Caenorhabditis elegans: one gene and its partner. The protein of the gene in region 2 purifies or fractionates together with the protein of the main gene of each other region. This does not show direct contact. Each region holds a gene or a part of one and is shown on either strand. Other genes may lie near its edges.

Region 1 (10,657 bases), on a different chromosome or scaffold from region 2:
GAAGGAACAAAAAATATAGATTTTTCTCAAAATAATGAGAAAAATCGATATTTCCGAACCAAAAAAGGATTATCGTCAAAATTGGCAATAAAGTCCAAAAAATCTATGATTTTTAAAATCTAAACCTTCAATTTCTCTCAGGAACAACTTCTCTTTTCGGATCAACGGCCACAAAACCAGCTTTCTCTGGAGGATCTCTATTCGGTGCAACAACTTCTACTGCAACATCCTCAGCTGCTGCCACCACCACAACTCCGACTACATCACTCTTCGGATCAACCAAACCAGCCACCACAACTACACCATTTGCATCGACTGTTGCTAATAATTCCAGTGGTCTTTTGTTCAGTTCAAAGAAATAATTATTTATTTTTTTATTTCATGATGACTGGTTTTATTATTTAATTTGTGAAATATTTATTTTTTCTGATCTTTCTTTCGATTCCTCACGCTTTTCCTGTTCTTACCCTATTCTTACATTAAGCTTATTCGATTTTAATTTTACATTGTCTCTACACAGCAAATTTTCCCATGAAATCTGATTTTTTGTAAAATTTTTGAATTTTTCATCAAAAATTAAGGTACTATAAGGGTATTGAAGGATTACTGTACGGGTACTGTAGGGATACTGTAGAATTATTGTAGTTTGGGAAATTTGAATTTTTAGCTTTAGTAGAGGTATTTTGTTGGGAGTTGGTGGGGATGATGTTAAGGTACTGTAAGGGTACTGTGGGCTTACTTTAGTTGTTTTGTATGATTACTGCAGGCTAAAAATTGACCTTTTTCAGAATATAGTAGTTTTGAACATTTTCAGGAAAATTATTTTTTTGCCCAAAATAAAAAAAAAGGACAGTCATTAGAAAATTTGGGCAAAAATAAAAAGTTGTCTAAATTTGTTGAAAACGGGTAATTCATACATGCAAAATTCAGAAAATCTAGGTTTAGTCCGTCAAAAACTATTAAAAAGTGGCAAAAATGGCCAATTTATGGCAAAAATTCACAATTTTGAAACTTCACTAAAACGGGCAATTTTGTAGTTAGAGGACTCAAAATTGATTTAGGATCACTAAAAAATTGCCCTTTTTCAGAATATAGTAGTTTTAAACATTTTCAAGACAATTATTTTTTTGCCCAAAATAAAAAAAAGGACAGTCATTAGATGGCTGAAAAAAATTTTGGCAAAAATAAAAAGTTGTCTAAATTTGTTGAAAACGGGTAATTCATACACGCTGAATTCAGAAAATCTAGGTTTAACCCGTCAAAAACTATTGAAAAATGCCAAAAATGAGTCATTTATAGTAAAAATCAAAAATTTTGAAACACCATAAATTCATCATTTATTTATAAAATCCGAGTTCTCTCGACAATGTACTAGTGTGAATTAACTGATTTAAGAGTTTTCTCCAAACGCCGTGTCTTCTCTCTGTGCATTAAAATGACGGCAGTGACGAGAAGCAGGAAGAATGCTGAAAATGTTTTATTATTTTTGAGCTGATTCTTTTTTTTTGAAATTCAGCATTTTACTTTCATTAGACGCGATAAGTTTTCAGAAGTATTAAATTATTGGAATTTTTTGTTGTAAATTCTCACTATTTCAATTTTAATTTTCTTCAAAAACTCTTACCAGCAATTGCCAGCGCCCAATAGAATACAGTATTTTGTATTGCAGAAACCTTCTCGTCAACTCTGAAAGTTCGAAATTTGTTATCAAATATATATTCCCCAAAATTCCAAATTCCATGAAAAGCCTCAAAAAATTCTGTAAAATCGATATTTCTGAAATATCCCGAAAATTCTAAAATCAAAAATTTTTTTTAAAAATCGCATTTTTTTGAATTTTTAAACCTTAAAAAAATTTGAAATTTTTCCGACGTTTTTTCGGACGTTTTTCAACTTTTTTTTTAACTATTCAGACTTTTCCAAAAATTATTTGGCAATAAATCAAACTCCAGGAAATTCTGGAAAATCGATAAAATTCCATTATTTTCAAAAAAAACATTAATTTCCCAGAATTTTCCCAACTAGTAGCAATTTTCGAAAAATTCTGAAAATTGAAAAAAATCGAAATTGTTAAATGTTATAAAAAGTTTCAGGGAAAATTGGAAACATTTGAAAATTGAAAATCTGAAAAAGAAAATCTGAAAAATTCCCAAAAAATTTCCAAACTCACTTTAAATTATGAAAAGTGATTCGAACCTTCTTCCGTTCCTTCGCCAAAATCAAATCAATTTTCATGTGCCACGTGGAAAAGTCAAGAATGAGTAGCTCGCCGCCACGTTGCACGGTTCCCTGCAGCAGACACGGGCGGTTCTTATCGTATTTTTTGGGTTTTCGAAGATCAATTCTCCATTTGGCGGACGTGGTTCGCATATCGTGAACTTCTGAATCCATTCGGATACGGAGATGTTGGTGGGCTCCGACGCTGAAAAATCGATAATTTTGCTCCTGATGATGTAAAAGCGCTCTATCGAACAAGTAGGCATTTTTGTGGAATCGATAATAAAAAATCGATATTGTTAATATCGATTGTTCCAGAAAATTTTGCGATAGAGCACAATTGCATCCGATTGACAATAATTTCCTAATCAAATTTAAACATGATCGAGTCCTTATCAATGTCTCCCATTTTGCAATTGCGCTCTACTGAACTAAGGAAGCAAAAACCCACGTCACTTTCATATTATCCATTCCAACGAGCACATCGATAAATTGCACTTGCTGACACGAATCGGAAACTTGCTCCTCGGATTCCACGTGGACGTCTTCCTAAACGTAGGTATGCCTACATGCCTGCCTGTCTACACTGAACTTACCATCGAAATATTGTGGCACTTGGCCCACTCGTAGCAATTCGTCTTTTGAATATTCGACTTGCAGGACTCTAATTCGATGAACATTCCAGACGTGAATTTGTGCCTGGAAACAGCAGTCGTATCAAAAAAACTGTTAATTGCCAAAATGTAGAGAATTCGATTTCCTATATTTTGTCCATTTACAAAATTTCATTAGCTTTGCTTTCCGCAGAGTTATAAGCGTTTTAAGTTTGCAAGGTAAGTGAGAGAGTGTGTGGCGAGGGGAGAGCGCAGACACCGCAGAAACTTTAAAGCGGTGTATCTCAAAATTGAAAAATGCTCAGAATTTCATGCTCTACAAGATGGGCGAAAAAGATTTTGAAACTTTGGAAAAAAAAAAGTTTTTTAGCATTTTTGAGAAAAATTTCAGCGGGCTTTATCTCGGTGGTAATAGGAGCTACATAAAAGTTGTCAACTAACAATTTGTAGAAAATTTTATGTAGTTTATTTTATTAATTAAAACAAATATTCTGCCTCCCACCCACGCAAAAATACACCTGTTTTTATGATTTCTGTAGCTCCGAATCCGTAAGAGCTACAGAAAACTTGTCAACTAGAAATTTCAAGCAAATTTAAAGTAGTTAAGTTGATTAATTGATACTTTCTTCGTATCTCATTTTTGCGCAAAGATATGGGGGTTTTAAAGAAGCTTTTAACCACCTCCCCTCAAAACCTAAAAATTCCCTTTCAACTTACCCAGCAGCCTTGTTAGCTACAATGAACTTTGGCACCAAATCACTTCGGATATCTCTTAAAATATCCTCAAGCACAATTCTTTTCAACAATGACGAGAACAATGGAATTCCCTGATGAGCATACGGAGGGATTGAGAGCAGTCTGTGAAGTTGGTTCAGTGACTCGCTGGGTTGGTTGGGCTGGAAATTGAAATGGTGAGAGGTGATGGGAATTGTAAAACGAACACTTTGTAGAGAATTTAATTTTCTACAAGTTGCTATCATAGATAACAACTTTTTGATATCAAGTATCTGAACGGGATTAGACAGGTTTTGGGCTAGTCTTCTGGGGGAAGTGAAGCGCTATCTCAAAACTCCTATAACTCGGAGAATTTTGTAGGTGCCAAAAAGTAGTTAACTAAAAGTAGTTAATTCTATAAAGAATCTAATTTGCTACATTTTGCTAGCTAACAATACTTTGAGATCTTACATCTGAACGGAGCTAGAAAGCTTTCGAACTATCTTGGAGGAACTCCTGTATCTCCGCAAAGTTACCTAGCTATCAAAAAGTTGGTAATCTGTAGAGAAATTAATTTCCTACAACTTGTCAGTTGATAACTATTTGGTAGCTTGTACTATTACAAAGCTACAGCCACTTCAAATAACTTCCATCTTACCTGCGCTTCCTTTTCCATTTTCCACTTCCTAATCGACAAATGCCCAACTCGGGTGCGAGCGGAATATTGATTTTCATTGAAAATTTTAAATATGTACTAAAAATAAGAGGTGAAAACTGACCAATCACTAGCAGTCTCATAATCATGTCCACAGATTGAGGTGGGACAGCAGCACGCCGAACAGCAACCCCAATCATCCCAGGAGATGAACAATTGAATATTGTTCTTAGTGTCGTTCACAGAGTTTATTGAAATTTCCAGAGACTCGTAGTTTTCGTAGGTGAAGATTTTATCTGAAACTGTATTTTCAATGGAATTCTCTATATTTTGTCATCTGTCAACTAATTGCCAGAATTTTGATATCTTCCTGATAAATTAAAATGAAAGGGTTGTTAACTAGGGATCCATAAAGAACGTTATATGGATTTTGGAATTTCTGAGTTTTTTCCTTAAAAAATGATCACACGAAAAAGTTGCCAACTAACAAAATATGCTCATTAAAATTCTATACATTTCGGCAGTTGACAACTCTTTGATAGCATTCCTCTGCGCAAAGTTACAAGCTTTCAAAGTTTTCCCAATGCGAGAGTGTAGAGGAGAAGGAGAGCGCTGGCAGTGTCTGCACTCTCCCCCTCCTCCGCGCTCTCTCGCTAATAAAACTTCAAAGCGGGGTATATCTCGGCGGGGAGTAGAGATAGAGAAATCATGGAAAACGAAGAAAGAATCAGAATTTGAATTTCTATACGATAAAGTCAATAAAGCTTACCATTCTGCTCTCCGTCCCCAATAATATCCTCATTCACAAAGTTATAGCTGCTCACAATTTTACCATTCAACTCAATTCCACACATTGTAGTAAATCCTTCAATTTTTCGAGAATGAATCTGTAAATTTTTGAGTTTTTCAGAGAGTAAAGTCCTGGAAACCAACCGCCAGCTCTCCATTGGGGAGCCCTATAGCTTCTCTGTCGGTTTCAGTGGCTCCATGCTCTCCACTCCATCTTGTCACCTTTCCAAAATGCAGGTCTGTGGAAGGTGTAGTTTGGCAAAAGATATAAAAAGGAAAACGGCGTCACAGGGACTGGAATCAAAAATGTGCTCACAATAATTTTCAGTTAATTTGGCTCAATTTCGGGATGATTTACAGATATAAGCTAGTTCTAGATAAACTATACAAGCTTCAAAAGTACTAAGCTTAGGGTTTTTAATGGTACTACATTATTTTAAGTATGATGAAGCTATTGTTTATGGTGCATGATTTGTGGATTTTTAAGCAAAATAGCCTGTAAAATTTTGTAAAGAAAGCTCCATCGGCTGCTCAGATACGAGCTTAAACACCAAGTGGCACCAAAAAACTTGCTAAAAGCCATTTACAACTTAAAAAAATAGCCCGCTCAGTAGCTTCATGTCGGGCTTAAAGGTCATAAAAAGTTGAAAATCAAGCTTTTGCAGGTTTCCAGTTATTTCGATGATATGAAAAACAAAAATTACACCACCAAATTACTACATTAAATGTATTTTTGAAACTGAAAAATTTTATGCTTCTTGAAAAAATGAGAATTTTCGGCGAAATTGTCGAAAATCGCAGGGGGGGGGTCCCATAGCAGTTGGGCGGTCGATTTTTCAACTTTTTGCTCTTTTGCACTCAACTTTTGAGATATCATGATAAAATTATAGATCCATAGGTTTTTTGGTATGCTGATTCCAATTCCAATACTAGTTTTCTATAAAAAAGTAGCTGTTGGGTGCACTGTACCTACTAAGCACCTTAGGAGTACCCTTGAGAGATAATGAAGGCTTGTGATATGTATGCTATGCTTAACTAGACTCATTGAATTCAGAAATAAATTTCTGATACTTTGAGGGTAATTTCAGCTAGTTCGTCTAATTTTCAGCCAAGTTAAATAATACACTCACTATTAATTCTCAAGTAATCCTGAAAATTCGAGACACGTGGCTCCTGTTCACAATCCTCCCGACTACAATAGTGCAATAAATTATTGATTTTTCGAGAGCCGATCGTCAATTTCGTGAAAATCTGAGTGAAATCACGTTCCGGGAATACGTAGTACATTTGATGGAGACCTTCAATTATCGGATGACACGTGGCACATTGCGGTTGGTACGGGAGGCCCGCTTCGCGAGTTTTCTGCAAAATAACGTTGATTTTGATGCAGGGGCAGCGTTTTCTGGAGAATTTAAATATCGGGGGAAGGCGATCTCAAAAAAAAAGGGGCGGGAAAAACAATTGAAAATTTACGCTCCGCCCCTATAACAGGTCTAAATTTTGAACTTTTACACTCAAATCTACAAAATTTTATAGAAAAAAAACGGTTTTTTTCATGTGAATAAGCCCGCAAAAGATAATAAAACACGTGGTCAGAGTGTCCCATTTCGGTGTGATCTTCAAAAAATGCGGGAATTGAGTCGCAGATTTCTCAACAAATTTTGTAAGTGTGCTGGCGACACATTTTACTGGGCAAAAAATTTCCGCATTTTATTGTAGATCATTCAAATTTACGCTACGCCTCTATAACATGTCTAAATTTTGAACTTTAACACTAAAATCTACAAAACTTTATGGAAAACGCCTGACACCACGTGTAAAAGTGCGCTTCACCAAATTTATTTTAATCATTTTTTTTTCTCTTTTGCTCATGAAATGAATTTGCTCACTAGAAACATATAAAATCTAGCAGAAAAACAGCTGCATTTGTCTATGATCTTAAAAATTGATTAAAACTGGTCTTGGCACGATTCGCGAGTGTGCAAACGCGCTCCACCGAACTTTTGCCGTTTTTATAGATTTTTAGGCCCGAAAAGCTAAAATTCAACAATATTATATAAAAATTATCGAATAAATAGAAAAAAAAATTAAACCTGAAAAATGCGAAATCCAATATTAAAGAACCCGTTAGAATCACACAATTCCTTTGATATATGAGGAATTCGAAACGCCGGATTCGATATAAAATATGGTAATTTGTGATAAATCGTCTGATTCCCATTTAACCATCCCAGTGAGTCGAATTCCAAGATTTTTCCGTCGAATAGTATATTGTTGTACTTGTGAACGTTCAGGTAATTCTCAAATCTCCACGTGTCTTTTGATAATGGAATTGAGGAGTACAGGGAGTAGAGTTCCGCTCGTCTTTCTGAAAAAAAAACAGTAGATTTGAGACTTTGCAGAAAGGGGCTGCAAACGCGCTCCAGCGAAGAGGTCTCCTTACCAAACTCGATAACAATTCCATGCACTGTCGAAAAAAGCATAAGTTTCAGAAAATTGAACAACAAAACCATGGTTGGTTTGGAGAAATGAAGCAGATTGATTTTTCAATGGATTTAAAAAGTTTTTACGTGATAAATTATTTTTAAAAACATATTTTTTAAATAAATCGTATCGAAAATTTAATTAAAAATTAAATATACCCCGTGAAATTCTCTACATTTTGTTAGTTAAACACTTTTTGATAGCATTTCTCTGCGTGAAGTTGTGAGCGTTTGAAGTTTTTTGGGGTGAGAGAGTGTGGGGGAGGGCGAGAGTGCAGAGAGATATACTGCCTGCACTCTCCTCTCCCTCCACGCTCTCAACACCGAAACTTAGAAGAGGTGTATCTTTGCAGAGAGGAAAGATACAAAAATATTGTAAAAAGGAAAAATGTTCAGAATTTGATTCTCTATATATTGCAATAAAAACAAATTGTTCGGAGTTTTTTTTAGTTTCTTGTTTTTTTTTCCTGAAATTCAAACTAAAAAGTGTATTTGAGCAGTGTTTTGCTCTACAAAGATATTCTGCATTTATTGGGTAAGAGCCAAAAGTGCCATATCTAACCGGAAGCTTATTCTACCAAATTTTACTTAACTAACAAAATATACGCCTTGAAATTCTGTACATTTTTGCAATTTACAATATTTTAATTGCACTCCTCTGCTCAAAGTGACAGGCGTTTTAAGATTGGCGGGTGAGAGAGCGCGAGGGAGGGGGAGAGTGCAGACACTGCCTGCGCTCTCCCCCTCCCCCACACTCTCTCACCCGCCAAAACTTCAGCGTGGTGTAACTCGGCGGGTAGGAAAGATAGAGAGGTAGTGTAAAAGACAAGAATGTGTAGAATTGGATTTTCTACTGGATAACGTTTTGAGTTTTAGCATTTATGAAATTTATGAAAAATGAATGTTTGAATTTGAATTTTCAATTTTTAGTTTTCCAAATGATATTTCATAATGTTTCCGTCTAGTTTTCATTATCAATTTCCCTATACTCTACTGTCTGAAACTGTTTGTTTTACCACGAAAATGACCAATACCTAGTGAATCATTGGAAAAAAAGAGCATCGCTTCCCTCTCCCGTCTCGCTCTCAAAACACACACACACACAGTTCCTTCCTTTCTATTTGCATGTATAGTTGCATTCTCTACGCAATAAGTCCACCTTTCCGTATGTGTGTGCTCCAAGAGCAACGGAAACTGGATTCAGGTGGTTGCTAACCAACCAATTTCCCCCTCTGGCTTTTCATCCTATAAGGTTTCCAATTTATCACTTTTTGTCTCAGAGAGCATATGTGCCTTTGAATTTATTGAAAAATATAAATTTTTAGTTTGAAAATGTGCAACCTTTGCTAGATGTTTTGCTTTAAAAAGCACTCGCGCTATTTTTTACTTGTTTGTGCGTGGTTTTACGAATTTTTAACTAAATATTTCTTAAGCCCCCTATATCTTCCTGAAAAATGAAGATATCAAAATTTTCTCAGCCAACAAAATATTCTCCTCAAAATTCTCTACATTTTTGCAGTTATCATTGTTTCTCTACCTCTTTTTTCCACAGAGTTACACGCGTTTCAAATTCGACGGGGTGAGAAAGTGTGGGGGAGGGGAGTGCGCAGACACTGCGCTCTCTCCCTCTTCCACACTCTCTCGCCTTCAAAACTTTGAAGCGGTGTATCTCTGCAAGTAAGATAGGTAGAAGCATACTGTAAAAGCAAAATTGTGTAGAATTAGATTTTCTAAAAGATTGTAAAGTTTTGGAAATTTTTTTTTTTTTAATTAAATGTTTTTTTTTTCAAAATTTTCAAAAAGTTACACCACTTCTCAATGTAACTCAATTCCAAATTCCTCTTCAAGTCTATCCAAAGATCATATTGTACCTGGATTGGAATGTCTCTATAGTCCCTGCGCACTCTTTGCTCTCAAGAACAAATACATCACTACGTGTGCCTTATAGTCTGTTTCTCTGCTGCTCTCCTGCTCTCTCCTTTCCTGATTCATCATATTCGTGTTCTTATCATTTTTAAGACGTGATCTTATCACACAAAAACTGCCCATTTTAATGTGTTCCGAAAGAAAAATAACCGCCCATTGATTTTCTTTTTGTGCAGGAATTTGTAGAGGTGATTTACACGGTTTTTTTTAATTTTTATTACTGGAATTTTGAATTTAAATGGTTTTTTTTGTCAAAATTTAGTTATTATTAGTTTTTGAAAATTTAACAAAATCAAACCCCCAAAAAAATCATTTCACAAAATTTGTTTCAAAATTTTCAGAATTCAATTCACTCCTCTTGTAGAAAATCCAATTCTACACAATTTTTCCTTTTACAGTGTTTTTCTATCTTTCCTACCTGCCGGGATACATCTCTTCAAAGTTTCTTTAGCGAGAGAGCGTGGGGGTGGGGGAGAGCGCAGGCAGTGTCTGCACTCTCCCCCTCACCGCGCTCTCTATTTAAAATTTCTACTTTTCAGATCTCAAAACTGCTCTTAAAATGGGGCAATCAGTGAGTCGAGATGATTTTATTTGGACGTTAACAGAGCAGCCACATATGAGTAGACGAGAGGAAATTGTGAAAAAGTACCCAGAAGTTAAAAAGGTGAGTTTATATTTTAAAACGTATGAGCATTTTCTGAAACTGAAAATTTTAGCTATTCGGCGTTGATCCATCTCTAAAATACGTGGTGTCTAGTTTGGTAATATTTCAAATTTTTATGTGTTGGTTATTACAAGATGCTGATTGGATATTAATAATACTTGAAGCCTACTTTTGCGGTGGAATAATCAATCACGCAATGACACTTGCCATCCATGATATTTCACATAATACGGCTTTTGGTAATAAGTACCCATTGAAAAATCGATTTTTCGGAATGTGGGCAAATTTGCCGATTGCTGTGCCGATATCAGTGTCTTTTAAGAAGTATCATGTGGAGCATCATCGATATTTGGGTAAGTCCATTGTGTAAAAAATAAAATTCTGGACTTTTTTGCCTCTTACTGTAATTTTCTATCTTACCTCCTCGCCGAGATAAACCTCTTTGAAGTTTTGGCGGTGAGAGAGTGTGGGGGAGGAGGAGAGCGCAGGCAGTATCTGCACTCTCCCCCTCCTCCGCGCTCTCTCATCCTGGCAAACTTAGAACGCCTGTAACTTTGCGCAGAGGAACGCAATTAAAATATTGTGAATTGCAAAA
Region 2 (5,614 bases):
TGAAGCACACAAATATCCGTCGTCACCAGTCGAGAACTTAATTACAACAGAAACCCGAGGTGAAACATATCTTTCTACTTCAAATGGCCAAGTTCCTTCTACACACAACGTAACGAATGGAGGAAGTGTAGAGAGAAGAGGCCCATTCTTTTCATCAACATGTGTGGAGAGATAAATACGTGGAATACGGCGTTGAATCGATGTCAAAACTGGAAAAAAGAGTTGTTATTAAGACTCTTTTCCAGTTATCTCACGTTTCCTATCTGCAATCAAAAGACTGGCAAGATTTGGTCCAAAATGAACTACTTTGCATAATGGAAAGTCATCTAAAAATTGGTCGATGATAATTCTTGCTTGATCGCCCTCCAGATAATTTGATTGAGTATCAATTGACGGAACAAACTATAAATAAATGAATTGCAATTATTTTTTCCTCAAATAGTTTTAACTGACAGTTATGAACAACTCCTGGCACACTTGCATCATGTGGAACAGTTCCCGATTTGTATATGGCAGTTGATAACGATCAGTGGTTCTTACTTCAAAATTAACGAATAAATAATTGGCTTTACAAGATGATAATCGAGTTGCTAATTTTAGGATCTGAAATAGGTTGGCATTTATATGTGCAATGTTTGAAGAAAAACATACAGTGTCAGGATTGAGGATTCTACATCCTGAAAAGTCTTGATATACAGCTCTGAATGCTCGATCAGGTTGATCCCTAATAGTAAGTTCCTTGATTGTTCCGTCAGAGCTAATGTCAGTCAACTGTTTTGAAACACTATTCCCGTTGGAATGACTATGATCTCCACTAGCATGTCCATTGGTTCCATTAGACGAATTGGAAACTCCGTTGCTAACTCCAGACTGCTTATGTTGTGCAAATTTGTGCAGCCGAACAATTTGTACGAACGTTGCAAATGCGTGACGGATTCCAGCATAATCAGATCCAACAACTTCGACTCCTCTGATTGCATCGATTGTAAGTGTATATGAGCCAGAAGGACGTCCATCTTCAAACACTCCACATGTCACCTTTCCTTCCAATGAAGATGTTTCGTGATCTGCCAACCGATGTCCTGTAAGATGAGCTAGAATGGTGTTGAGTGAATAGTTCGGAGAAACATTACCTCTGTATTCTATATCGACTCCTACACTGATCAAAAGTGGCTTGCTGAGTTCTATAATTTGCATTACTTGTCGAGGATTGGCACTCGAACAATCATCAAAGTAGACTTTAAGTTTCCCGTCTTTCGGGAATTCAAAGTTCCGAGCAGAATGGGGCTTTATGGAAATAAGTTTTGGTTGAGGCCAAAGAAGATCTGTCCAAGAGTCGATTTCACCTTCAATGTACTTATCGTACTTGACGGAATCGTTGAAAATTTGGGTATTCAGAGTTTCTGTGCATGAAATCAAAGACATTCGATCGTCCATGTCATCAACTGATCTATGATGTCTAACATCTCTAGCTATTTGATCCATGCTGAGAAGTGATAGAAGAGATGGATTGTGAGTTTCAGCAAGTGCAAAAGCATCTTGATCCTTTTTTGTTTTGAGTGCAGGATTTGCTCCGGAAGAAAGTAGAAGTTTCACAATTTCTGGATCTGCTTTTCTCAGAATAGCAGTATGAAGAGGAGTCTCGTCTTTCGAATTTGCAAGATCAACAGTGGCGCCATTTGTGAGCAATGCTTTTACAACTTCCAATGTAGCAAAATCAGCAGCCCAATTTAAAAGTGTATTCTTTGTTTGTGGCGTGTCGAACGAATCAACGTGTACTCCGGCACGAATAAGTTGGCATAGACGTTCAGTTCTGAAAAATTATTTATTTCTGTTTGGTCAAGATGGAGAAATTCGCTAAAGATGAATTGGCACGTATCAACTCGTTTCCCGAAAGACGTAACAAGTGGCCACTGCTGATGCAGGTATTTTTTGGATTTTATATGTATGCTAATGTTTAAAAAAAACAATTTAAGACACAGATGACAACAGGCCCTGGCAGCAGCACACCTGGATTTTTCCCCCAACCACGTGCTCGTGATGATTCTAATATTGATGATGTGCCCTTGAAAAGCACCTACGTGGCGAAAATTCTTCAAGATCGTCAAGATGTAAAGACTGGTTAATTGATTAAAATGAATATTTCTTACTTGTTCATGTTAATTGACTGCAAAGCTTCTCGGACGAATGACAACCGAACATTTTCTGATTTGCAGCATTGATAGGCTGTTTTACCATCCAAGTTTTGTACACATGGATTTACACCTCCGGAAAGCAAAGAAGCTACACTATCAGCAGCATCTAAAACTGTTATCTTGCTTAAAATCAAAATCTCAAAATATTACCTAGCTCAACAGCTTTATGAAGTAGTGTTCCTTCCTTGCAGCAAAGTTTATCGACTTGAACGTGAAAGTCCGGTTGGTTCTCTGTAGTTTAACATATTGTTACAGTATACTTTTATTGAAACTTACTCATTTGTGACAAGATTGAGCAAATCACGTCCACTCGGCCGCTCTCAAGGCACTGCAAAAGTACCGGAGCGGCTTCTTCTTTTTCACCCATGTCGCTGAAATTATAGATTTTTTGAGGTCGAATTCGTGTTAAATACAGGGTTAAAAGATGATCGACTAACACGTTCGAATCGTCGTAAAAATCACAGCAACACAATGATTGGTAATACAAAACGATTTAGCATACAAAAATCTGGAGAAGCAGACAAAATCCACGAAGATCGCAACAAACACGACAGCAGCGGAATTTGACCTTTCAAAAAAAAATAAACGTGAAATTGATTTTTTCCATAATGGAAATTATTATATTCGGGGGAATTTAAGATATATTTCAAACTGTGATTTCACAAAAACTATTCAATAAAAATCTTTGAATTTTGTTTCAGTTTCTCAAAAAAGTACGAAGATATCAATCGTATTTCAAAACCTACGTTAACTTTCCAAACTTGTTTCAAGAAAAATTTCAATAAGAATTGTATAAAAATGTTTTCAGTATTATAGAACAAATATTCATAAACACGTTACCGAAACAAAAATCTTTGGGAATTTGCAACAAACAACTGGAAAGAGTTACCAAAAGTTGGCAAAAATTGGAAAAAATTGAAAAAAGTTGGTTGAGAAGTGGGTTAATTTGGCTGGTAAGTGACCACCAATTGCAGTGTTCCCGGCCTATGGTTTAACTAATATTCACGGCCACGTAGCATTTGACATGTTGTGGGCCTCCTCCACAAGATGAGACGGCAGAGAAACATACGGTCTCTGCGTCTCTCACTCCTACATCTGATCTCATTTATTTTGCACATATTGATCTACCGTCCGGCTCTAGTATGTAGACATTTTTGTTGAACCTTTTGAAGTATAAGACATATAAAAATGTCTGTATACAAAAGAGTAATTTAAAGGATAAATATCAACTCCAGTCGACAATGTAGTACTAAGTTAACTCAGTACTACATTGTCGATTTTTGAAGGTTTTTTGAATTTAAAAAAAGTTGGCTTAAAGTGAAAAGCGGCTAATGGAAAAACTTATTAGTTGAGTTAAAAGAGAGAAATTTCGGTCCAAAGATTACGCTGGCTACTACAGTACCCTCTTTACTGAAGAGCTGATAACTACATAACAAAATGTTCAGTTTGAAATGATTAATATTTCTTTAGTTGACAATATTTTTCTAACCTGTAAGACAGACTAGTTGCATGTCCCCAAAAGCTACATTGATTAGAAAGTCAAATAACAGTTCATGAAATACTTTTTTTAAAAGTTAGAAGAAAGTATTCACAAAATTGTTAGATATCTCATATAAAATAAGTTCCCAATTGAAATATCAATTTCAGGTTTCAGGACTTAGTGGTATAGCCGGTTTAAGATGGCCAACTTGGAAATGTCAAAATCCCCATAATTTTTTGTATATAGAAATGTAGTTCTTGTTAGTAAAAATTGTTTTAAATCTGCTTGTCATAATATTTGGTTAATAAAATTGTTGTATCTTTAAAGATAACGGAGATTGTAAGGTTTTAATTAAGGGTGGCATGTAAAACCACAGCCATCAAGTTATGGTCGTATCTTTTTATTGAGAAGAGATATCAAAAAACTCTCAACTTAAGAAATGTCTGTCTTTTTGTAATGCTCATTTTGTCAGTTTATCATTAGTCTCTATCTCAAACATGAACAGAGTTATATATGCTCAAAATCTATGAAGTGCATCCACTTTCTACAATCAAGGCTATAGCTGCTACAGTCTACCGTATCATCGATTTCTGCTCAAATTTAAGAACTCCTGTTGAAAACAACGGCAAGGTGGCCAGCAAGCAAACCGCGAGAGAGTTGGTACATTTCTTGTGAAGGAGACCGTGTACAGATTCCACGTCGCGCTGGCCGAGCCTTTGAGGACTAGTAATACGGTGGAGTGTCGTTAGCGCGCTCTGTTTAGCAAACATTTTTCATTTATTTTTAGGGTTTTCAAGAGAACATTTCAATAGTTTTCATCTGTTTTTTTTTGTATTTTTAACATTAGTTGTTTCAATTTTTTTCAGAAATGAAGGTAGTTCTTCAACGAGTTACTCGAGCTGCAGTCACCGTAGGTGATGAAGTGGTAAGAATATATTAACCGTTATTGTTTAAAATATCATAATCAGGTAGGTTCCATTGGAAGAGGTCTGTGTGTGCTTGTCGGAGTTCATCGAGATGACACGGAAGAGGATATGAAGTATATCATTAGGAAAATTTTGAATCTACGAGTTTTCCCTGCTTCGGAACAAAAACCATGGGATAAATCAGTTATGGATCTCGATTTAGAAGTGCTGTCTGTCAGTCAGTTCACCCTTTACGGTCAGTTTAAAGTGAGTTTTGTCTAATATACTTAAACAAAACTATTCATATTATTTCGTTTTTTAGGGAAATAAACTGGACTTTCATACCGCAATGGCCCCAACAGAAGCTTCAAAATTTTATGCTTCTTTTCTTGAAGCCATGAAAAAAGCTTACAAAGCTGATAAGATTCAGGACGGCAAATTTGCAGCAATGATGAGCGTCGATATTGTAAATGACGGACCTGTTACAGTTACTTTTGATAGTAAAGAAAAATAATAAAAATTTGTTTTACTACTGTTGAATTTTGTACAATTTTGTTCATACAGCGGTTTGATTCCGTCATCATATCTTAATTATTTTCATATATTTATATTCTCTGGCAAAACCTCATATTACGTATACCTTAAATGCGAGTTTTCAATATCTTACGCACATTGGTCTCACCACGCAGACGACGACTTACTGTAACTTTTGTCGATTTATGGATTTTGCATTAAATTTTGATTATATAAATCGTAACAGAAATTTTTCCTTTAATTTGAAAATTATGAGGCAAATGTGGCCCTTAATTTGACACCAGTTACAGTAACCCGATATCAGCGTGGCGAAACCCATACGCTGAGTTTTCCTCTAACAATAGTTTTTTCTTATTTCTAATGTAAATCTCATTAAAAACTGAAAAAAAAACTTGGAAAAACGTCTCCATTTCAGTTTGTCTGATAGCAAATCGAGTTCACTGAAATCTCTTAACCCAAATGGGGAGTGCCTCTAAAATCGAGGAAGATCTGTGCAGGAT

What was found. The genes of interacting proteins can lie anywhere in the genome.
Region 1: the proteins of pqn-68 (region 2) and Y54E5A.2 fractionate together in Caenorhabditis elegans (co-fractionation; one large-scale study listed by BioGRID). This does not show direct contact.

What each region holds. Positions count from the first base shown.
Region 1 is NC_003279.8:14,691,015-14,701,671, reverse strand, and holds Y54E5A.2 (Recep_L_domain domain-containing protein), read right to left. Parts: upstream 7,519-10,657; 5' UTR 7,503-7,518; coding exon 7,433-7,502; intron 7,358-7,432; coding exon 7,083-7,357; intron 6,352-7,082; coding exon 6,120-6,351; intron 5,229-6,119; coding exon 5,134-5,228; intron 5,088-5,133; coding exon 4,970-5,087; intron 4,497-4,969; coding exon 4,325-4,496; intron 4,232-4,324; coding exon 4,204-4,231; intron 3,728-4,203; coding exon 3,549-3,727; intron 2,917-3,548; coding exon 2,814-2,916; intron 2,767-2,813; coding exon 2,669-2,766; intron 2,423-2,668; coding exon 2,171-2,422; intron 1,687-2,170; coding exon 1,625-1,686; intron 1,467-1,624; coding exon 1,372-1,466; 3' UTR 1,280-1,371; downstream 1-1,279. Other genes in the region: npp-4 (Nucleoporin p58/p45), read left to right, coding at 142-362; ttm-5 (Putative sphingolipid delta(4)-desaturase/C4-monooxygenase), read left to right, coding at 9,958-10,062, 10,115-10,415.
Region 2 is NC_003283.11:12,948,095-12,953,708, forward strand, and holds pqn-68 (D-aminoacyl-tRNA deacylase), read left to right. Parts: upstream 1-4,541; 5' UTR 4,542-4,543; coding exon 4,544-4,600; intron 4,601-4,643; coding exon 4,644-4,847; intron 4,848-4,902; coding exon 4,903-5,094; 3' UTR 5,095-5,114; downstream 5,115-5,614. Other genes in the region: T16G1.9 (EIF3k), read right to left, coding at 1-209, 255-402, 454-603, 652-1,082, 1,134-1,813, 2,151-2,301, 2,346-2,426, 2,472-2,562; T16G1.13 (uncharacterized protein), read left to right, coding at 1,845-1,925, 1,977-2,126; T16G1.18 (uncharacterized protein), read left to right, coding at 3,243-3,335, 3,843-3,929.